2 linked regions of the Notamacropus eugenii genome follow. The protein of the gene in region 2 purifies or fractionates together with the protein of the main gene of each other region. This does not show direct contact. Links are inferred from orthologs where the notes say so. Each region holds a gene or a part of one and is shown on either strand. Other genes may lie near its edges.

What was found.
Region 1: the proteins of SH3PXD2A (region 2) and FGD1 purify together in Homo sapiens (affinity purification with mass spectrometry; 3 studies listed by BioGRID and IntAct, with this or other methods). This does not show direct contact. The link is inferred for Notamacropus eugenii from reciprocal best matches to the Homo sapiens genes SH3PXD2A and FGD1.

Annotation. Positions count from the first base shown.
Region 1 is NC_092879.1:102,631,706-102,643,977, reverse strand, and holds the start of FGD1 (FYVE, RhoGEF and PH domain-containing protein 1), read left to right. Parts: upstream 1-7,068; 5' UTR 7,069-7,101; coding exon 7,102-7,207; intron 7,208-12,272. UniProt on the Homo sapiens protein: Activates CDC42, a member of the Ras-like family of Rho- and Rac proteins, by exchanging bound GDP for free GTP. Plays a role in regulating the actin cytoskeleton and cell shape.
Region 2 is NC_092872.1:182,100,294-182,112,329, forward strand, and holds the start of SH3PXD2A (SH3 and PX domain-containing protein 2A), read right to left. Parts: upstream 4,909-12,036; 5' UTR 4,470-4,908; coding exon 4,398-4,469; intron 1-4,397. UniProt on the Homo sapiens protein: Adapter protein involved in invadopodia and podosome formation, extracellular matrix degradation and invasiveness of some cancer cells. Binds matrix metalloproteinases (ADAMs), NADPH oxidases (NOXs) and phosphoinositides.

The sequences.
Region 1 (12,272 bases), on a different chromosome or scaffold from region 2:
GTTGGATGTGTGTTGTGGTGTGGTGTGTTTTTGTGTTGTGTGTTGTGTGTGCTGTGCATGTTGTGTGTAGTGGTTGTGTGTTGTGGTACTGTTGTATGATATATGTTGTGTTGTGTGTGGTATGTGTTGTTTGTGTGGTATATGATGTGTAAGTGTGTGTTATATGGTATGTATTGTGTGTTGTGTGCAGCATGTGGTTTGTGTTATGTGCAGTATGTGGTGTGTTTGTATGTGGTGTATGGTGTGCATGTGCTGTGTAGTGTGATGGTGGTGGTGTGTGTGTTGTGTGTGGGGTGTGGTGGTTGTGTTGTGGTAGGTGTTTTTTGTTGTGTGTGGTATGTGTTGTGTGTGTGGTGTATGGTGCATATGTGTGTTGTGTGCTGTATGTGTTGTGTGTTTGTGTGTTATGTGTGCTGTGTGTTATGTGTGTGGTGATTGTATGTTGTATGTGTTGTGTGTGGTGTTGTGTGTGGTATGTGTTGTTTGGTGCATGATGTGTGGGGGAAGTGGTATGTGGTCTACGTGTTTGTGGTGTGTGGTGTGTGGTATATGGTGTGTTGTGTGTTTGAGTGTGCTGTGTTATTTGTGTGGTGTGTAGCATGTTGTGGGGGGGAGTGTGTGTGGTGTCTGTGTGTGTGACTACTTGGCCCAAGATACAAAATCCTAAGAATGGCTTTTCCCCACACCATAGATGGCATCAATAGACTTCCTGCAGACACATAGGACAGAACAGCCAGGCTTGTCCACTCAACCCAGAAGGGGGGTGCAGCCAGTGCTTCTGAACCTCAGCCTCTTGGGTAGAGAAGTCAGGATCCGGAGCTCCCCGAATCGAGATTCCTGGCCGTGGTAGGCTGTTTTCCTGGACAGCAGCAGCAGCCTTGTTAAAGAGGTTAGGAATGAGAATTCTGGCAAGAAGAGAATCCTAGATCCAGCCTTCAAGAGAGGAGAAAATCAGCCAGGTGGTTCCCATAGTATATCATAGGAAGGAGTTGGGGGATCTAGACTTTGGCAGCACTATTGCCTCCTCCCCAACTCACCCACATTAGTCCAGTGAGTTCTCTGACCAGTAACAGGCGTATTTGCTGTCTAAACCATAGAGTGGTATAGACTTGGGAGGACTGTTCAGAGAAGTCCTCACCAGAATGTCAAAGGTTCAGCTCCTTTTGAGGGTACTAGGAGTAAGCCCCAAGTCTGTCTGGGCGGTTTCTAGCACTTGAACCAGACCTTCCAGCTAGTTTGCTCCATATTGATTATCAGCTGGAACTGACTTTTCAAACAGGATTCTCTAAGCTACAGAAGGAACAGTCGGTACAAAACAGTTCCCCCAGAAACCCTAAGGCACATCTCCCACAAATGCACAGAGTCCAAAGGGAGAGCAGGCTCCAACACAGAGCACGCAGTAATGAATCAAGTGATGTAGAGAACCCACGTAGCTAAAGGTAAACTTTGAATTCTGGGTAATAATATAATTTCATCATAAATCCTTTGGGATTGTCTTGAATTATTGCATTGATCAGAGTAACTGTTGCGTTTGTCCTTCATTCTTAAAAAGGACCATGACATCAAGATGATGACATGACTTGCAGTTGACTCTGATTTGAGTGAGGGAAGGCTGTGCAAGGTCACCTGCCTCACTTTCTTGTCCTGAGCCATCTGGGTCCAGTGGCCTGATATTTATGATCACTTTGAGTGAGATATACCCATTCAATAGGCTTCTTTAAGTAGCTACTCAGAGTAACTAAGTCATTCACAGTTGATAATTGCTACAATTTTGTTCTTATTGGGTACAATGTTCTCCTGGTTCTTCTCACTTCACTTTGCATCAATTCAAATACATCTTCCCAGGTTTTTCTGAAACCATCCCCTTCATCATTTCTTAACAAAAGTCACATCTTTAAAAGTGCCAGAATGGTTCAGTGGCTCTTTCCTGCTGCGTCCAGAGGCTGACAGTTCACCCATAGTGTGGGTGCCGTGAACTGAACCAGAAAGTGGGGGATATCTCCCCCTCTCTCTCCTTTTACTGAGAAATGGACCTGGTGTTGTTTGCTTCTCTTCTATGTATTTTGTTCTTATTAGTTTCAGGTATAGGTAGTGATCCTCACTAGACCTGGGAGCTTGGGCCATGGAGAGACTTTGGAGCCGCTGGTGGGATGTTGCAGTCAGATATCTGGGCAGGGAAACCCAGAGAAGCCAGGGAATCTGGGACTGAAGCAGAAGGGGATGTTTAGACGTGGAACTTGGGGCTGTGTTTTATGGGAAATGAGCTAAACTGTGAACCCTTCCCAGAGATTAAGGTAGTGTGTAGAGAGGGATGTGTAGATTGTCTTACCTTCCATGTGTTATGGAGTGCCTTTGTATGTTTGTGACAGTACCTTTGAACTAAATATTCCTCTGCATAAGCCAATACAACTGTTAAGTGGCTAAATGGAACTGGGGTGCAGGAAGATATACCATCTGTGGGAGCTGGAGTCATTGACATCTGGCTGGAGCCTAGATGCCTGCCTTCCCCTTAAGAGTATGGAAGAACCCTGGGGGAGGGGTGAGATGACACAGAGTAGAATGGTACACCCAACCCTCTGCCATCTCTCTGCTGGCATTTACTATGGTTTTACTTCTGACTGCGAGTCCCCACCCTTTCTCCAGATTATAAGCTCCTGGATGGGCAAAAATGATGCTTGTTGACCTCTGCAATGATTGGCTGTTTAATAAATGCTTGGTGGATGAATCATATATTATCAATATTAATGAATTCTATATCAACAAGATACTATATATTAATAAGATGTCATAATGTAAGCATTATACAATATTAGTAGATTTGTATTATGTAAATGTTATATATTAATGATATTACATGTTAATGATATCATACAATATTCTGTATTTTGTGTATTAGAGAGACAGAGAAGGCAGAGTTGTGAACATTTCCGTCTCTGAAATCTGCAGACAGGAGAGAAGGCAGCAGGAGAACAGTGACCATCTCTCTCCCCAGATCTGGGGACACCTTGGAAACGCTGAAAACTTGCAGACAGCAGCACAAATCTGCAGCTCCGGATAAGGCTTCCCCACCCCCAGGGGAGCAGAGCCCAACTTCAACAAAAATTCAGTCAAGAAATAGCCTGCGAAAATCAGCAAATAGCAACACTGCGCTTCAGTGGTGGAGGGGAAGACCAAGCCGGAAACTCAGAAGACAACAATGTGAAAACAGCCGCAAACAAAGCCTGAAAGAAAAATGCTAGTTAGAATGGGGAAAATGTTATCGCGTAAAAGAGACACATAGGGAAGAGTTTTTACAATGAAGGGGAAAATGGGGGGGGGGGGGAGGAGTGGGCAATGTTTGAACCTCACTATCATTTGAATTAGTTCAAAGATGCAAGACTACACACACACACACACTCACACACACACACTCACACACACACACACACACACACACACACACATACACACACACTCAGGTGCTCATTGGGCACAGTAACAGCAGTATTGTAATGACGATCACCTGTGAAAGACTTGGCTACTCGGACAAATACACTGATCCTAGACAATTCTGAAGGACTCGATGAGAACAGGCTGTGCACCTCCAGAGAGAAAACGGATGGGCTCTGAGCGCAAACCGGAGTGTCATTGTCTCACTTTCTCCATTCTTCCCACTTTTTCGGACATGTAGCTAGTATGGACATACGTCTTGCATGATCTCAGATGTATAATTGGTATCTTACTATTTGTCTTCTCAGTAGGTGGGGGAGGGGTGCGAGGAAGGGAGAGAATTTGGAGCTCAAAAGTTAAAAAGAAAAGAATTTCAAAAAATAAATCATAAATTGAAGTGATTTTTAAAGATGAAAAATAAAATTCCTTGGTGGAATGAAGGAAGAAAAAGAAAGACAGAAAGGAAGACAGGAAGGAAGAAAGACAAGAAGAAAGGAAGGAAGGAAGGAAGGAAGGAAGGAAGGAAGGAAGGAAGGAAGGAAGGAAGGAAGGAAGGAAGAAAGAAAGAAAGGAAGGAAGGAAGAAAGGAAGGAAGGAAGGAAGAAAAGAAGGAAGGAAGAAAGGAAGGAAGGAAGAAAGAAAGAAAGGAAGAAAGAAAGGAAGGAAGGAAGGAAGGAAGGAAGGAAGGAAGGAAGAAAGGAAGGAAGAAAGAGAGAAAGGAAGGAAGGAAGGAAGAAAGAGAAAGAAAGGAAGGAAGGAAGGAAGGAAGGAAGGAAGGAAGAAAGGAAGAAAGAAAGGAAGAAAGAGAGAAAGGAAGGAAGGAAGAGAAAGAAAGGAAGGAAGGAAGGAAGGAAGGAAGGAAGGAAGGAAGGAAGGAAGAAAGGAAGGAAGGAAGAAAGAGAGAAAGGAAGGAAGGAAGGAAGAAAGAGAAAGAAAGGAAGGAAGGAAGGAAGAAAGGAAGGAAGGAAGAAAGGAAGGAAGAAAGAGAGAAAGGAAGGAAGGAAGGAAGGAAGAGAGAAAGAAAGGAAGGAAGGAAGGAAGAAAGGAAGGAAGAAAGGAAGAAAGGAAGGAAGAAAGGAAGAAAGGAAGGAAGAAAGGAAAGAGGAAAGAAAGAAAGGAAGAAAGGAAGGAAGAAAGGAAGAACGGAAGGAAGAAAGGAAGAAAGAAAGGAAGGAAAGAAGAAAGAAAGAAAGGAGGAAGGAAGGAAGAAAGAGAAGGGAGGGAAAAAGAAAGAAAGGAAGAAAGGAAGGAAGGAGGAAGGAAGGAAAGAGGAAAGAAAGGAGGAAGGAAGGAAGAAAGAGAAGGGAGGGAGAAAGAAAGAAAGGAAGGAAGAAAGAAAAGATTGGCAGACACTACAAATCAGGCTTGATTTACTGTTAAGAAAGTGATGCTGAAAATGCACAGAATGCACATTAAACTTCAAAGTGTGTCCTGCATGCCTTTCTCTCTTTTGGGGGGAGCCAGTTGTTAAACGTTTGCCAGCACACCACTATGGGGCAGCTAGATGGCCCAGAGCCAGGCTTGAATGTGCCTGCTTTGCTCAGCTTCAGTGAAATCGGATTTAGATTCAGTGGTATCTTAGCTTGGCTTTACATGGGAGGGAAGGGCACCAAGATCATCCCCATAGTTTCATATTCCCAGACATGAGTCAAACGCTGATGTTACAAAGGGAAACACTGTGTTAGGGTCAAGAAGACATTTTGTTGGGAGATTCCCTCAAGAATAAACAGAACTCTGGGTCTGAGTAGCCCACAGGCTACATATGTGAAGTACTTTTACAAACCTAAAATGCTTTATAAATGTGACACTTTATCGTAGCTAGGGTTCTAACTAGATGTCACTGAAGTAATTAATGATCCTGAGAGGAAGTTTTAATTAGACACATACAATACCAAAGATGACCACCAGATGGCGCCCTGCTTGAGCTACCAACTCAAGCTTCTTGACACTCAATTAAGAGTACACTGGGAACCAGGCACTGTGCAGGGTTGTAAGTGTGCTGCTGTCCTGCCACTGGTCCTAGAGGGTACCTGGCTGGGTTCTAACTGAACCTAGGGGGTGAAATGGAATCACCCCAAATATGGCACTGGGACTAACTATGGTGTCTCTAGCTGCCCAGTTCCCATGACTGCCTGGGATGGAGGGCAGAAAGTGGATGAATGAACCCTGACTCTCCCACTTAAAGCTCACAGAAACAATGGGAGGGAGGAATGGGAATCGCTGGCCCCTTGCACGACTCATAGCTTCAAGCTCTCAAGGCCCTGGTCATTCCCTAGCTCTTGGCAGTTTGGAGAGTGAGTATGAAGGCAAAGATGTGAGCAGGCCACAAAGGGACACCCTTGGCCAGCTTCCATAGGCTAGGCCTGGAGTCAGGAAAGACCTGAGTTTCAATCTAATCTCAGACACTTTCTAGTTGGGTGACCAAGGGCAAGTCTGATGTCTGCCTCAGTTCTCCCCCTCCCTCTCCCCCTGCCCCCCCACACCTGTAAAATTGGTATCATAGTAGCCTCGCGTTCTCAGGGTTGCTGAGAGGAGCCAAATGACATAGTGTTTGGAAAGCTCTTAGCACAGTGTGGGCACTTGATACATCCGTTTCCTTTCCCCTACCTAGGGAGTGTCATGACCCAAACCTGGGACCTTGGGTCTCCAGAGAGATGAGAGGACATAGGCAGGTCTGAGCAGGACAGCCAGCCAAATGGAGGGCCTGGGGGCTGGTCTTGCCTGACCCCTGGTGTGGCGCAGCCACAGAAATCTATGTGCCCAGACACTACCTTCCTCCAGCCTCCTCAGTTCCTGCTGCACTCGCATGATCCGATGGACTTCGGGTGGGAGGATTCAGAGAAGTCTGAGGAACCCTGGGCCATACCTTCCCGCCCCCAGCCAGACCCAGACACACACAGACTTACAAAAGAACACTTGCCCTCTCCTCTCCCCTCCCCCACAGAGATCAAGTCCCTTGCCCCCCCCCAGACATACACACTGACACAGGGTCCAGACTCACACATGTGTGATCGAGTGAGTACACAAATAAACACATATGCTTCTAGTGGGCTTTTGTTGCAACCAAGGACCCACGAGTGAGAGTGGCCAGACAAGTGTAAACCGGTGGAGGGTTAAGAGGAGCAGGAGAGGGGAGCCTGTGGAAGTAGGGCCCATGGTGGGGAGAGGGGGCTGGAGGCAGGGGGAGGGGCCGATGGGGAGGGGGCCTTGGAGGCAGGGGGAGGGGCCGATCGGCGGAGGCTGGGGAGGGAGGGGCCGCGTCCTCTTCGGACTGGGCTGCGAGGGAGCCGCTCGGGGTTTAGGGGAGTCCCCGGGCCCCTGCGCAGGCGCCCCCTTCCCCCGAAGAGCCCGCCTCCGCGGCCCTGCCCCTTGCGGGGCCAGCCGCCGGCAGCTTCCTCCCCGGATACCGGGGAGGGGGCGCCGCCCCCCGGAGCCGCCGCGCCCGGATCTACGTCGCGCCCCGGCCCCGGCCCCCTCCCCCAGGCCCGGCCCCGCCATGCCCCGCTCGGCGGCTCCCCGCAGCCCCCGCCCCCCGTGCACGGGGGGTGCAGGTCGGCCCTAGCGGGCGGCCGGGCGCCGGGGACGCCGGGGTCCGGGCGCCGGGAGCTGCGGCGGGAGGAGGAGGAGGAGGAGGGCAGCAGGCGCGGCGGCGGCGGCGGCGGCGGCGGCGGGATGCAGGGCAGTGGCGGGGCCGCCCCCCCAGGGAGTCCGGGGCCCCCGCGGCCCCCGCGGCCCGGCCGCTTCTCCTGCCACATCGAGGGGGCCCAGGCCCGGCCTGGTGAGTGAGCCGGGCATGGGGTGGGGGGGAACACTCGGGGTTCGGACTGCGGGGGGTGGGGGAACCCGGCAGGTGGCCAGAGAGGGAGGATGGGGGGAGGGGGGGAGGGGGGGCAGACAGATGGGCAGAGGGATGGACAGGTGGGCAAGTGAGCCAGGGGTTCCCTCCCCTACTCTACTCTCTTCTCCCCCTCCTCCTCTCCTCCCCCCCCATCCCCCTGGGGGGCGTCAACTCCTTCATTTTACAGAGGAAGGAAACTGAGACCCTTCGGGGATTCCTGTTCACAAAGAGGTTGGTCCCTACCAGTCACTACAATTTGGATCCTCTGGTCACTGTGGGCAAAGAAAACTTTCAGGACCCATGTGCACCCAGGACCAGGGAGTCAGAGCAGGGGGGACACCCAGGCCCTGGCTTCACTTTTCCTAAAAGAAGCTGGAGACCACAAGCTCAGGGAGAGCAGCTCATATAGAAGTCCATGCTGGAGGGTCAGGGTCCCACAGCAACAGGGATGTGCCCGCTCCTCATGTCCCCATGCCTGGCTCAGACACAGCTGGACTGTTGTTCAGGTGGGGCCCTCCATTGGGGGGGGGGGCAAGGTCTGTGCCATGGGAGAGGGGGGAGTTAAGAGCCTCATCTCTTGCTTGGTGCCAGCATGGGGGAGGGGGAGGGGGAAACGACGGGACTGATAGAGAAACCAATTTAGGCTCCAACCTTTCTTAATGATGAGAATCCAGCAGCTAAGTACAGAGCTGCTTGTCTGTAGTACCAGAGACCCTGTGATCCTGTGGGCCCTCAAGCACATTCCATCAGAACCTGGCCTCTCCCTATGCCAAACCCAGACCCAACTTCCCCATCTCCACCTCTTGTCCAGTGGCCTGAAAGGTAGTAGGAGCCCAGGAAGTGGCAGCTCCTTCCTACCACACTTAGCCTGACCTTGACCAGGGCCCTAGGCCTGTCGAGAGAGCTGGCAAAAAGGCCTTTCCTAGAGGTAGTCTTGAAGGATTAGTGGATTCTGGCTGCCCAGCGGCATTGGGCCAGCCTGGAGCAGAGAGCTGTGCCAAATGGGCTAAACCTGGCCAAAGGAGGTGAGGGTGGAAGGTCTGGCCTAGATCCCAGGGGGCTTCTGCTTCAGGTCCAGAGTTGTCACTAGCATGAAGTTGGAACCTTGAGTGGGGGAGGCTTCAGGGGCAGGGAGGCTGTGGGGTCTGAGCTCAGCCCCCTCCTTGCCTCTTCTCAAGTCTCCAGGCTCCTCATCTGTAAACCAAAGACTTGGACCTAGAGGACCTCTGAGGTCCCTTCCCAGTTCTAACCCAATAGACCTCACCCCAGCTTCTCTGGGTCAGTTTCTCACTATAAAATGATGGTCCCTAAAGGCCCTCCCTCAGTTTCCCTGAGTAACTCTATCTTATTCTAACTTTCAGCTGAGATGCCCTCCACCCTCCACCATTCCCTACAAAGAATCCTCCTTCTCCTTGGCAGAGACAGGGTAGGGGGGGAGGGGAGGGAGGCAGCACTGTAGGAGGGGAGGAAGGGACAGATATCTGCATTTAAATACCTTGCCCCCCAAGGATAAAGCTCTTTCTGTTGGAAAAGGCCACCTGATGAAGATGCTCAGGGCCCTTCAAATTAGGGGATGGGGGAGATGGCTGGCATCCAGGGTATGGGCTATAACCAGCTGCCTAAAGAGCCCCAGATCTGAATTAAGGATATCTGCCTTTGAGCTACTTGGAGAGTGTCAGGCCTAGAGGCCTAAGGGCTACCCAAGTCTTACCTTACCTATCGCAGGTCTTCGGCTGGCCAAACCGGATAAACGTATGAGAGAAGAGACTTTCCAGAGTCGAACAAGGGTTAGGCTTTATTCAGGGTCTTGGTTACATGTGCAGGGTAAATTCTTCCTTAGGAGAGAGGAATCCTCTTCCCAAGGAGGCAAAGATCTTACAGTAAGAGAATGGAAGTGGAAGTGGGAGAGGGGAGAGGGAAGAGGGGCCTTCTGTCCTCTAAGGGCCCCTCAGCGCTAAGAGCGCCTTCAGGCTTTCCTGACCCTACTTAAGCTCTCCCGCCCCATAGTTTGCACCTGAATACCGTGCCTGTTAGACAACAATAGGTGTGCTCGGACTATGGATTAATCTCGAGGGCGGGGATGCTCTTCCCCAGCACATTTCCCAAGGGAAGAGGCGGAAATGCACGAGATAGCCCGATCTCACACCTCAATTCCCTGCTGTTCCCTGGGGGGCCTCATGAGAACTCTAAGGTTTAGAAGTCCTTACCTTTACCTGCCCGAGACTGTCCACATGGAACTGAGCTTACACCCCCAACAGGAGAGCAGATAGAAGAACGTCTTTTCAAGATTTGCAAAGTGCTTTCCTCCCAGGAGCCCTAGAAAGGTCAGCCATGCACATCGGTTTCTCCCCATTATTCAGAGAAGGAGACTGAGGCTCTGATCAGTGAGTGTGGCCAGGACAGGCGAGCACAGACGGGGAAAAGGAGCTTCCCCAGATATGGCTCTGGTCCCAGATTGGGGCTGGCGCCTCCTTTGGCCAGACTCTACAGGTCTCCTCCTCAGGAAACTTCTGTCTAGAGGAAGAGGAGTCTTGGTAGGGGAGAGCAGTTTTGGGGTTTTCTTTGCCTAGCCTGGCAGTCAGGAGATCTGACATGCCTCAGTACCCCCATCTGTCAGCTATGGGGATGTGATGGAACCAGGACAGAGTGTGAGAAACTAGGAAGTGTGCATAAAGGCCACTGACTGCTGTGTGCATGTGTGGAGAGAAGGGATATGTGCTGAAGGGCAGTGCACTAGCCAGAGCTGATTGGCTTCTGGAGGAGGACAGAGGCATGGAAGGAAAAGGGGGAGCACTCCTGAGAAGAGCCTCAGGATGGCCTTCACAGCCCCCTTAGCATTCCCAAAGTGAGCCTCAGGCAGAGCTGGGCCTACACTGGACCAGACTTGGGCCCCTTGGCTTCCCAGCCCCCAGGTCTCCACCATGGGGGAGATGGCGGGAGTGAGCGAGAGCAGCCCAGCCCTCAGGAAGGGGCCAGTTGGGAGGAACACCCAATGGTCAGCATGACCATTGCCACCTCTGAAGGCAGATCCCGCCCCTTGCACAACGACTGGCTTGTTGGTTTCTAGACTTCACAAAGTGATGAGAAAATGATAATGATTCAGACTAAGACGCTCTCGTTTGTTCAGCCATCCTCAACACCTTGTGGACCACAAGCACTGAACACAGGATTTGCCACAATCCTGCCTTTGCTGCTAGCTATGACCTTGGTCAAGTCCCTTTCTCTCTGAGCCTGTTTCCGTCTCTAAAATGAGGGGTTTGTGCTAGATGCTCTCTAAGGTTCCATTCAGTTGAAACGTTTCTTAAGTGCGCTGGGAAGGAGGGGTTGGGGGGAAGAGACTGAGAGGGGAGTCACTGGTTCCCAGACCCTTAAGCCTTGGAGGAAGGAGAGGCTTTGAAGAGATGACAATGAGAATGGTGGGGGTGGGAGGTGGGGGTTGGGAACAGCCTGGCAAAGGCCAGGAGGCAGGAGATGGTCAGGCTCAAGGAATGGTAAATGAGCCAGTTTGACCGGAAGGCTGAGTAATGTTGGAAAAGGTTGGAAAGGGGGCTAGATTGTGGCGGGCTTTCCATCCTGGGCCAAGCAAGGAATGGCTGGATTGGAATGGAGAGGCCCACGGAAGGCCCTGAAGGGTCATCCAGTTGGACATGCACCAGGAGTCTGAGTCTAGGTTTGGGGTCCCTGGGTTTGGTGGCTCATAGGAGTGGGACCATGGTGGGAAGGAACTCAGATTTCCAGCTGGAGTCAAGGGAGCTAAGTCAGCTGGGTAGAGAAGGGTCAGATGCCAGGGACCATCCAGACTGGGCACGAAAGGAAATGAATGTGCCCAGTCCTCAAAGGGCCCGCCCGGTCTTCTGCTTGAGTGCTCAGGTCTGCAAAATGCCCTTTTACCCGTATCTGGAAAGTGAATCAGACCCAAATTTCCCTCTTGGGTACCCAGTCTGTGTCTAGGCCTGGGACTCCAATTACAGCAGCTGGGTGTGCAGGCCCAGTCTCTCTTGTGGAACATCGGGGAAGAAGAGGGAGGGGGAAGGCCTACTGCCAAGTCTGGCTTAGGCTCCTCCCCAACTCTCCAGGAAAAGGGACCCTGTACCTTTAAGTTGCCAAGGTCTGAGTCACCATCCCCACTTTCCATAATGCTTTAGACAGATGTTGAGCTGCAGCTGGCCAGATGTTTGCCTGGTGGGGCTGAGGGGCCCTGGCTGGGGGATGGAAACACCTGTCACTCGGGACCAGGGTGAAGCACTCTCCAAGGCTCCAGGCCACCCCTCTCCTTGAAGGCATCTCTAGAAGGCCCCATTCTGAATGCCATGGTGGGGAGGGGCCTTCCCTGGAAAGATGTGTATGCATTTAGGGGAGTTGCCACCCCACTTTGGCAGGTCACTGGTTTTTTACTTGTCACCCTCCTTCCCTGGTTGGATCAGGGGTTTCGAAAGAGATTGTAGCAAGTCCTTCTGGGGAACAGGCCCTGTTCTAAGACAGCCTTTGTGGGGGCAGAGGGGCAACTGTCACTGCCCTCAAGGGGCTCAGATGAGAAAACTGAGGCTCAGCTGAATTCTCTCAGCAAGATTTTGAGCTGGAAGGACCCTCCCAGGTCCAAGTCCCTGTTCAAGAATTCAGCCGGGGATGGGCATAGAGGGGACACTTTCCCCTCTCTCAGCCTCACCTTCTCTCTCTGTAAAATGAGAAGGTTCAAGTGTGCTCTGATAGGCTATGACCCTGAGGGTCCACCGTACCCAAACATTCCTTAGGCACCAGCTCAGGCGACTCCCCCCAGGCCCTTACTGCCACCAGAACTTTCCTCCTCCTGCCTGACTCCAGCCACAGTACCTGGCACAGAGTGAGCACTGGATAAATGCTCTGCCTCTGTCTGTCTGTCTATCTCTTCTCTTGCTCCCTCCCTCCCCCACTCCCTCTCTCACTCCTGCATGTTTCTTGGATGTGACCACATGCACACTCGGTGGCTATGCCAGTGCCCTCTGTGACTTGGGGTCAGAGGGAGTGT
Region 2 (12,036 bases):
TCTCCAAGTCCAGGACTTAATCTATACCACACTGCCTCTCTTAGTACCCCACCCCACCATGAGCTAACCACTAGAATCAGCAGTCCTACTCTGATAACACATTGGTGCCTCAGCAGCAAAAGACCTTCCAAGTTCTAGAGCTAGGAGACAGTCTTTTGTATGGGGCCCAGGCCTTTCATCATCTTCCTTGGACTAACCCATAATCCCATAAATTGACTCTGCTCTGCAATTTAGCAAGCCACAGACTCAGAACTCTTCATTAGAGGGAAGACGAGCAAGAGAGAGAAAGGTATGTTCCTTAAATGCACATAGCCATTAGAACATATGTGATCTTAATGTGTCACTCCCTACACAACCACCCCACAGGAGGGCATAACTAGTTTGACTTGATATTAATAATAATTATTATTATAGCAATAGTAATAGCATTTATATCGTGCTTTGAGGTATACAAAGAACTTCACATATATTAATCCATTTGATCCTCACAATAACCCTAGACTTTATCCATATTGCCACCTAGTTGTCTCACCTTACCCTTGGTGGAAGGCTGGAGGGGGAGAAGGAGAGGAAGGATATCCACCCAAGCCAGAAATGGGGAACCTGCAGCCCTGAAGCCACATGTGGCCCTCTACGTCCTCAAGGCTGAAGTTTCCTATCCCTGACCCAAGCCCTGGGCTCCTTCTCCTCCCTATAGGATTAACCATTTCCACCTCCTTTCGTTGACTTCACCTTGAACACGTCAGTAACCATTTGCATATAACTTAGCAATACTTTTGCAAGCAATTGTTATAATGTTACATAGACAGTTATCCTTCATTCTCTGCCTAAGGACTGCTAGATAGAACATTGGCTAGAAGCCTGGGCCAGGAGGCAGAAAGACTTGAGTTCAAATTCAGCCTCAGACATTCCCTAGCTGTGTGACCCTGGGCAACTCACTTAACCTGTTTGTCTCAGTTTCCTCAACTGCAAAATGGAGATAATAAAAGCACCTATCTCTCAAGGTTGTTGTGAGGATCTTTTGAGATATTAATAAAATGCTTAGCAAAAAGACTGGCACGTAGTAGGCACTATATACATGCTTATTCCCTCACTCCAGATTCTAATCTCTGGGGAGATCCACCTGAGCTTGGAAATGTTGAAACAATCTAACCTGGGAAAATGACCAGTTGATATTCTTCATTCTGAGAGACAGACAGACAGACAGAGACAAGGGGAGAGAGAGAGAGAGAGAGGGAGGGAGGGAGGGAGAGAGAGAGGGAGGGAGACAAAGGGAGGGAGGAGGAGGGAGAGGGAGAGGGAGAGAGGGAGAGGGAAAGGGAGAGACAGAGAGAGACTACAGCTGAAGCGTGAGGAATAAAATTAAATTAAAATGGAGATGGAATCCCATGGGAAAAATTGATCAGAACAATTTACTAATTTCTACTACTTTCTTTTCTCCCTCTCTTCTCCCCCAAATAAGAGAGGAAAGGTTTCATTTCATGATAGATCCCCTTCCAGAAGCAGGGCTCCTTGTGGTTCAAGTCCTTGGATTAACCACTGAGTGTTCAGTCACTGTCTCTCCTTTCGGGATTTTGTTTTGTTCACTGTAAAATGATTGAAGTTGGCATGATCTCTGCGAAAATCCCTGCCAGAGCTTTATTTTCACAATGAAAAAAAAAAGTTTCTCCTTTAATTGTTCCTCAGAACTTAAGGTCAGGGCTCTATGTGGCCTCTCTCTTCCAGTGACATCACTGCCTGCTTTGCTTTCCCAGGATGTGACATCATCAGTTCCCATAGGGCGCTATTCCATCCCTGCCTCATAATGTGAGAGGAAATGGTAGTATCCATGAATGAGTATTATTAGGAAGAGCCTTTATTTTCCCCAAGTTTTCATATGGTGCAAGTAACTATTATCCTTTAGGAGCTGGTTCCTACCCCTCCCCCCTCACAAAAGCCCTGCTTTTTTAAACTAAAATGTTGACTTTTTTTAAAGAAACTTGGATTTCAAAATTTTCTCCTTTTTTATGCTCATATCTATGCCTGTCAATGAAAGTCAAAATAAATCCTTTTTTTTTTTTTTAATGAAGAGGCCAGACATGAGAATTATGGTATTTTTTTTATCTTTATTCACACCTTTCCATGAGTTTCTAAGAGCTCTGGCAACACTGTCCTGGCCTGAGGTCAGAAACTCCAGGTTCTGTAATCTTGGGTCCTCAAGAAGGAAACTGAATTGTGATAGGTCTAGGGATGAGATTTAGGATTTCACTGGTCTAGGGTATTGGTGAGGAAATTCCCTCTACTAATATAACTTGTCACTTTCCCTGAAATTTATAGTGTAATAAAGAATTGCCAAGAGCATTGATTGGTTAAGTAACTTGATCACATAGCCAATACAAGTGAGAGGTAAGACGTGAACTTAGGTCTTCCTTGGCCACCACACAAGAAAATAGTGCACTAGGCCAGTTTTGATGAACAGATGCAGGAGAATGCTGCATTTTTTAACAGGTTCCAAGGCAAGCCAGCTTGACTGTTGCACCCCAAAAGAGGACTATAATGTTATCAAGCTGCTTTGCAGATTTTGGACCCCCAACTTGACAATGGTATACAGATGTTGCTGTAAATTCATCTAGAAGCTAAAGTCACACAGTCTATCGGGAAAGTTTCAGATAGAACTTGCTCACGTCCCAGGGCAGAGACTGCCACCTGCTGAAAGGTAACTCCAACCTTACTGAAGGACTGGTTTAAAAAATAAAAAATAATCATTGATAGCTAAAGCAACTCGACTCCCTGACTTCACAAGTAGAAGCTAAGTGTCTCAAATACACCTGCTACATGGATACTGGTGACCAGTCTTAAAGAAAAGATAGCTTAAAAGTGAATACAACAAAAGATGAACTTATCGGCCATGAAGGGGTTAAGGAACACTAGAATAATACCCACCCCATCAGAAGACTGTGTCTTCTCCTCCTAGAGAACTTTGAGAATGGAACTGCTGCCCATCAATCTAAGGGGATTTAGGAACAGCCTTGCCAAAAAGCAGGATAAATGACCTTTAGGGTTGCTTCCAACCCAAGAATTCTGAGAGCTTCTGGAAAACCCCAGTAAAAACCCAAACCCAGCACAAGCCAACTTGTGACAGTTTTCAAAAAGACATAAAATTTTGGGTAGTTCCTGGATGGAGAACATAAGCAAAGCTCAAAGGTGCCCCATCTATAACAAAGAAATCAAGATACTACTAAGGTAAATCTGAGAAGCATCAGACTTTGTGAAGTAAGATTAACTTCTTTAAAAAAAAACAAAAAACTAATGCAGAGCCTTCTAAAAAAGATCTATTTGAAAAATATAGGCATTACCAAACCAGAAGCAACATTGTTGCTCCAAGTCTTCCGTCCTAGGGAGTTACAATCTTACTCTACTGGAATTTTCTCAAACTCAGGAGGACATTCTAGATGTCAGTAATACTCCATTTGCTCAGAGGTGTGAAGGCTGGGTAATGGAGATGAAAGGGTGAAGTATCAACCAGTCTCTTCCTTCTCACCTTCTCCCAAGAGTACTTTGTATCTCTCCTTTACCCCTCTATGGAGTTCTGCCTTATATCATATTTATATAGGCATCACATACACACTTTGAGATTGTAAGCTCTGAGGGGGTTTTGATCCTAGCAACATCTGCACCGTTAACTCAAATACACAACAGAAGCTTACATAGGAGAAAATCTCCTCAGTTTAAGAATCCGATCCACAGTAAGAAAGAGTAAAATGATAATGTCATTCAACATAATGGATATGGACTTCCAGGACAAAAGTAAGGAGGCAGAGAGTGGTAGGTTTCTTCCACCTAAGCCCAGAACTCAGTGGAGCAAAGAACCTGACAGGCTGGAAAGGAACCTGCAGAGATCTTACTGGCAAAAGTATCTCCCTTAGGACACGTTTAGAAGACTCCCCCGGATCCCTACAGGAAGTTGTTGCCGGGAAGATGCTCTCCCCACGCATGTTCTGAGCAAGAGTGGGTTTTCCAAAAGCTACTCGTATCCCCCTCCCCACCCCAGATACACACACACACACACACACACCCCACCCCCAGCCTCCGTCCCAGGTCTATCCATCAGCATCATCAGTTGGACAGATGACTTCACCACTCAAACAGACAAGGCCAGACACTTGCCAATTCCTAAGCCAAAAAAAGAAGTAAAGAAGTAGGGGGGAGGGGAATTTAGGGAAAGGGGGACGTGTTAGGATCTAGAGAAGGGATCTGAGTGTCCCCAGTGGATTCCAGCGCTCCTAAGAAACTCGCCAGCAACATTCTCCCCTAACGCTCCACTAGCCCACGAGACCGCAAGTAGCAAATGGGAACCTGGGCTAGTCCCCATTCCGTGCCCAGCCCCGACCTCGGACCCAGCCGGGGGCCCTACTCACATAATGCTTGGAGGGGTTTCTCCTCTTCTCCACATCCACCACGGTGGCATCCTGCACCGCGTAGGCAAGCATCTTCTCCCCGCTGCTGGCTGCACGCCCCGCCCGCTCCGACTCTTCCTTCCCTTCCCTCCCTTTCCCTCTCCTGGCCGGGAGACTTCAGCTCCTCATCCTGCCTGGGGCTGCCCAGGACAGGACTGCAGCCGCGGCTCTTCCTCCGGGGCTCCCGCGGCCCCTACTGCCCCCGGGGAAGATGGCCAGGAGAGCGGGGAGGCAGGCAGGGGGGCACTCCACGCGCACAGGTAGCTGCCCCGGGGAGGCGGAGGACGCGTCCCCGGCTGGAGCCTGGTCCTGGCCCGAGGGTGTGGGCGGGGCGGCCCAGGTCGGGGGTCTTCCTGCCTCCCCGGGCTGGCGGGCTCCTTCCTCCGCTCCAGCTCGCTCCCTAGCTCGCTCGCTGCCTCCCTCCCGCCGGAGCCGCAGCTGCAGCCTCCCACTCCGGCCGAGTCCCGCGGAAACTGGGGGAGGAGACGACGGGGGAGTGTCCTGCCTGCGGGGGAGGGGGCGGAGGCTGCAGGCCGAGCGCCCGCTGTCAGGGGGGTGGGCGGGGAGGGGGCGGCGGGCGAGGGCGAGGGCGACTGGGGCTGGAGGAGCTGCGGGCGGAGGGCCGGGGCCGGAGAAGGGGCGGGCTGGAGGCGAGAGGGGAAACGCGAGGGGAGGGGCTCCGGGGCCGGGGGCGGGGCTGGGGAGGACGAGGAAGGGGCTGCGACCGGGGACTGGGTAGGGAGCGACCTGTAAAGCAGTCCGCACCCACTCAGGAGCCGAGGTAGAGGGGGAGGGGGTGTGTGTGTGTGTGTGTGTGTGTGTGTGTGCGTGTGTGTGTGTCTGTCTGTCAGTGTCTGTGTCTGTCCGTGTCTGTGTCTGTGTCTGTGTGTCTGTGTGAAGTTACTAGGAAGGGAGAGGGACAATTATAGGAGGGAGGGGAGAGGGGTTCCAAACCATCAGGCCTGGGGTGGTAACCACGCCCTATTCCCACCATTGCCAGCTTCGGTGTTAGAGCAGAGACTATTTGTGGTAAGGGTCACCCTGTCGTAGTACCTAATGCCCTGGCTACACACCAGCTCTGCACTCCTTTAAAGGATCGTTTTCGTCTAAAATAAATAGTGTGTGCTGCCGGAGCAGCTCAGTGCAGTTCTAAGAGCCCTAGTCTGAGACCTGGGTCCTACTAGCTGCTCGACCCTTGCACCTCTGTACTGCTGCATCAATGGGAGGTGAACTAAATCAAGAAGTCTAAATCTAGGGTCAGTTAACTTTTTAAATGTGTGTATACATATTTCGATATAATTGGTTTCCTTTGTGATCCTATGTATTTCATGCATTTAAAAGTATTTAGAATAAGCTTCCAATAAGCTTCACCAGATCCCAAAGGGATCCATGATAAAAAAAAAAAGTTAACCCTTGGACTAAATGATGCTTAAAGATCCTTTTCAGCTGCAATTTAGTATGTTCTTATCTACAGAACCTGGGGAAGAGAAAGTCATGTGGTGAGAATGGAGGAGCCCATGCATGCCAATGAGCTTTGGTAAAGAGTTGCTCCCGCGGCTTGCTAATTCTTCTCTGACCGGATCGATTCACCGTCATTCATTCACTGGGCTTTTGCTAGTGTAGAGACCATGTTAACTTTTAATAAAATAAGAACACTACCAATTACAGTTAAAGGGGAAGGGCAGAGGGATACAGAACACAACCGTGAGGAAGGAAAACTATTCCAAACACCTTCAGGGTTCTAGATTTGAGGTGTGATATGTGATCCCTAAAGTGTAACCAGCAGTCATTCTGTAGTGAGAAGGGCCAGTCTTTTCTTAGCCCCTACAGCATAACTGCTGGGCTACCCCATACCCTACATTAATTTAATTCAACAAACATTTCCTGAGGACTATTGATGTCCAGTTCATTCTCTTTTAAAATATTCAAAAGGGCAGTGGTTTTCCATAATATTTTAGTAGTTTCACAATTTTAACATGAACTTATGAATTTGGACTGATGGAGGAAGGTCTGAATTGTGAAATGATGGGATTTTTTTTAAAGCATCATTATCATTGGGCTTGCTTAATATTTTGTACTTAACACTGTTAGGATCCAAGCTACTGCAGACCCCCAGCCCACCTTTGGAAACTCTTGTCACCAATCTCTTGGTCTTTGAGGAGAGACAACAAACACTCCTTATGCCAGTAAGCCTCTATACCAACTTCAGAAAGTCATGTAATATCCCTAGACCTCAGTTCCATTTTTAAAATGAAGTTGACCTAGATGATTTCTTAAGGTTTCATCCAGTACTGGTATTTTTTTTGATTCTAACCTTCTATGCATCTAACTGAAAGGCAGTGTGGTGTAATAGACAGAAAGCCTCTTGGCATAAGGAAGACCTGGGTTCAGATCTACCTCTGGAACATATTTGTTTTGCCTCAAAACAAGCCATCAAACCAATTACTACCTCAGGGAAAGCATAAATTACAAAGCAGTTGCCAATAGGTTTCAACAGAGAATTTCCTCACTAGGAATTCCTCACACCAGTGATATTGAGCTGAAAAAGAACCAGGGGTCACCAAACCCTACGTAAGGATCACTGTAGGCTACAAATTGAGTTAGAAAACCGTTTGTATTTGTTCATTTGTTTATTAATTTATTCCTTTGTTTTGCTGTATATTCCCCAATTACATATTAATCTGGTTCAGGCACCAACTGCCCTCATTGTGTTGTGGGCCATGTGTTTGATACCTCTGCCCTACACCAATGAAATCCCACTGCATCTCTCCTCCTAAAAAAGGCTCTAAATAAAATGCCCAGCCCCTTATTAGGGGCTACATGATCCCTTACTGGTTCCTATCCACACAGAACTTATAGTCTAATTGGGGAGATGAGATAGTGACAACTAAAGAATATAATTTAGTATAATACCTCCCATAGCTCACATTATATGATTTACAAAGCACTCTTCTTACAACACCCACCCTGGGAGGTAGAGAGAGCATTTAATAAATGAGTCAAGTAATGTTCAAAACTATTAAGTGAATTGCCTGCATGGTCTTATAGCTGGGAAAGGTCGAAGACAGTGCCCAGAAACTGATTTCAGACTCTAAGTCCAATGCCTCACTAACTCATGGAGAACAAGACAATAACTTGAAATTCAAAAACCAGCAATCAGCAAGAACTAGAATGGTTCAGACAAGACTTCACTCAGCTAGGACCTGAGCCTATGGTAAGTATTATGGTAAGTCTTGAGAATGGGTAAGTATTTTGGCTGGACTGGAAATGACATCTCCCTCCTCTTAGTTCCTTTATCACTTATTAACTACAGTATTCACATAGCATTTACTTTATTATAATTATTTACATATGCCATCCCCCCACTAATTGGTATTGCTAGAGGATAGCAGTAGTGTCTCATAATGATGTTAAAGTTGGAGAGACAGGGTTGGATCCAATTCTAGAAAGTCTGGATAACCAGACAAGAGGAATTTGAAATTGATGAGGTTGATCTTGTGAAAGCTAGGCTTTGGGGAGACAGTTCCAGCAGCAGGATGGATGATGGGCTGAAGGAAAGAGACAATCCTTTCTCCTCCTAGTGAGAAGAGTCTGTTCTTCAAAAGGGTGTTCCCCAATCCCAGAGAATTATTGTCCTCAGAAACTGGGATGTGGTGTGAGAAACTGGGAACTGAACCATCTCAGAGAACTTCATGACTTTTAAATAAAGAGTCTAGAGAACCCTTGATAAACACTGTATAATAATACTCTGATCTTCACCTATGGTTTTCAGAGCACTAATTAAGCCTCAAAAGTTTGTGGTGAGGTGAGAAAGAATCTGTGCCAATGGGAATAAAGTCAGCGAGGTGAGGTTAACTTACCCTGGATGTATCTTCTCATCCTCAGAAGATGTTTCCTTTCCCGTCTCTGGCCTTTGATCTAACTCATACTTAATTTTAATAAAATTTTCACTTCATACTATTTTGTTTTTTCTAATTACACATAAAAATAATTTTCATTTTGATAAGATTTAAAGTTCCAAATTTTTCTCCCTCCTTCCCTAAGACAACAAACAATCTGATATAGGTTATACATGTGCAATCTTGTTAAACATATTTCTGCATTAGTCAGGTTGTGAAAGAAGAATCAGAACAAAAGAGGAAAACCACGAGAAAGAAAAGGACAAAAACAAAAAAAGGGAAAATAGTCGGCTTCGATCTGCATTCAGGCTCCATAGTTCTTTCTCTGGATGTGGATGGCATTTTCCATCATGAGTCTTTTGGAATTGTCCTAGATCATTGTCTTCCTGAGGAGAGCTAAGTCTACCATAGCTGATCATCTTACAATGTTGCTGTTACTGTACAATGTTTTCCTGGTTCTGCTCACTTCACTCAGCATCAATTTATCTAAGTTTTTCCAGGCTTTTTCTGAAAAACTTCCCGCTCATCATTTCTTATGGCACAATAGTATTCCATTATATTCATATACTACAACTTGTTCAGCCATTCCCCAATTGCTAGACATCCCTTCAATTTCCAATTCTTTACCACCACAAAAAGAACTGCTATATTTTTGTACATGTGGGTCCCTTTCCCTTTTAATGATCTCTTTGGGATACAGACCTAGTAGTGGGGTGTGTGTGTGTCTGTGTGTCTGTGTGTGTGTCTGTGTGTCTGTGTGTGTATGTATCTGTGTGTCTGTCCTTCATTGCTGAATAAGACTATGCCATCAGAGAAATAATGATATGACTTGTACTTGACTCTGTTTTGAGTGAGGAAGGGCTGTCTAGGTCACCAGCCTCATTTCTCCTCCAGAGCCAGGTGAATCCAGTGACCAGATATTCATCAAGATGACTGGAGATGACCCAAGATGAGGCAGTTGGGGTTAAGTGACTTATCCAAGGTCACATAGTGAGTGTCAAGTGGCTGAGGTGAAATTTGAACTCAGGTCCTCCTGACTCCTGTACTGGTGCTCTATCCACTGTACCACCTAGCTGCCCACTAGTAGTGGTATTGCTGGATTATGCACAGTTTTATAGCCCTTTAAGCATAGTTCCAAATTATTCTCTGGAATGGTTGGATCAGTTCACAACTCCACCAACAATGCATAAGTATTCCAAATCTCCCACATCTTTGCCAACATTTATCATTTTCCTTTTCTGTACTATTAGTCAATCTTATAGGTATGAGATGGTACCTCAAAGTTGTTTTGATTTGCAGTTCTCTAATCAATAGTGATTTAGAACATTTTTCATATGACTGTAGATAGTTTTAATTTATCTGAAAACTGCCTGTTCATATTTTGACAATTTATCAATTGAGGAATAACTTGTATTCTTATACGTTTGTCTCAGTTCTCTATATATTGGAGAAAAGAGGCCTCTAACTCATACTTAAAGGTTATTTAAAGAAGGAGGGTTTGGAAATGATAGAACTTAGCTTAAAACAGAAGCATGGTAAAGGGAGTCATTTACAGTCTGTACTTGATAATACAGTTCATGTTTTGGCTCCATCCTGCATAAAGCATTGGCCTGAGCTGGTACAGTAACAGCAGTACTAGGCAGAAAATTGGGAGATGTTTTTATCCTGGCTCTGCCATTCAATAACCATGTGACTTTGAGTAAGTCACTCCCCACTCATGGTCTTTAGATTCCTCATGTGTCTAATGAAGCAGTTAAACTAATTGGTGGCTAAGGTCTCTTATTAACTTAATGATCTATAATAGTGAGCTCCAAGTTTTTTTGATTTTTTTTTTTACCACACCTGTAAAAATATTTTGACCATCCCCAATCCATGTATATGTACTTATTTATGTATTATCTATGTACACACATATATGTATATACACACATGCATATATAATTATATTATGAAACTTACACAAAAATAGACTTTTAAAAATATGAGATAAAGATGTAGTATTGTTTCATCCTATCATCAATAAGGAGTCAATGGGGGTTTACTGAGAAGGGTGACATAATCAAACCTGTACTCTAGGAAAATCACTTTGGCAGCTCAGTGGAGGATAGATTGAAGAGGGGAAAGACTTGAGTCAGGAAAGCCAATTTGAGGCCACTAGAGTAATCCTGGGAATGAGAGGAGATGATGTCCTGAACAAGGTGGCAATGTGGATAGAGAAACAAACGTGAGAGACACTATGATGGTAGAAATGACAAAATTTGGCAACTGATGGATCAATGGTGGTCCCTCAGCAGTAATAAGGAAGTTTGAAAGGGAGTGAGTTTCAGGGAAAGATCGTGGATGAGATTGGTAATGTGAATTGATGCCTCCTCATCCTGTGTTTCACCAAAAATGAAATTGGGACAGGATTTTTACTCATCAGCTTCTACAACCCACTCAAAGCCCAATGCCTCCCATAGACAAGAGGTTTGGGGACACTGAGGGGAAGTGTAATTTTCCTATGAAGCTTCTGGTGGAAGTGGGAAGGGTTACTGGGTCAAGTTAGGTTACAGCCATACTAAGGGTCTGGTGCCTTCCATGAGAAGGGGCTAAGTCAGAAAGGATTGAGATAATGGGTGAGGGGAGTGGTGCATTTGTCAGGTAGTCAACAAACATCAATATGTCAGGCACTGTGCTAATTGTTAAAGATGCAAAGAAAGACAAAATTAGTCCTTGACCTCAAGGAACTCACAATCAAATGGGAGAGACAACATGCAAACAGCTACGGACACATACACAAGATGTAAGTAGAATAAATTAGAGATAATCTCAGAGGAAAGACACTAGCATTAAGGGGGACCAGAAAAGGCTTTTTGCAGGGATTTTGACTGAGATTTGAAGAAAGCCAAAACTCTCTGGCATTGGGAGCAGGGGTAGGATGGGCAGAACACTACTTCTTACAGAAGTAGGATGTTTTTATTATAGATAGGTGCAAGATTGGCTATCTCCTTAAGGAGAGCCTGTGTGCCACCTTTCTAACTGTCTGATTTCCACTATGGGATTATTCCATGGTCCCCTAGGAATAATCAATATCACTCCACCACACTTTGGAAACCACTGATCTACAAATTAAAAATCCTAGTCATTTCTGCAAGGTGGAGTTTGGAGAAGTGTCCCACCCCAGAAATACTCTCAGCTCAGAATAAGATATCCTTTAAGCATTTCAGTGGGTGGCTTGTGTAGTCATTGAGCCTATTTCAGAAAGAGTTGACTCTTATATTTCATGTTGTATGTAAAAAGCAGAGAAGTGGCATTTAATAAGAAGAGTTTTAGGGAAAAGATTCTTCAAACTGTAAGGAAGATAGATTGAAGATCCTAGATCTTTCTCCTCTAGGCATATATATCCACCTTGAGTAAATCACTTTTCTGGGTCTCGGTATTTCTACTGTAAAATGGAGACAATCATTTCATTTTTGTCTTTGTCTCTCTGGCAAGATACTTTACCTCATCTTTACCTCAATTTGAAGGTATTTATCTTCAATTTACTCATTGAAGTAAATTTACCTCAATTTAGTCATTTGTAACCATACCAATGTTGTCTCTGTCTCACAGAATTATGGATGATCACATAAAACAAAGATGATGAAGTGCTTCTTCATAAATCTTAAAGTGTTTTAGAAATCTTGCTAATATTGTAGTGGGGAGCCCAGAGATGAATATAT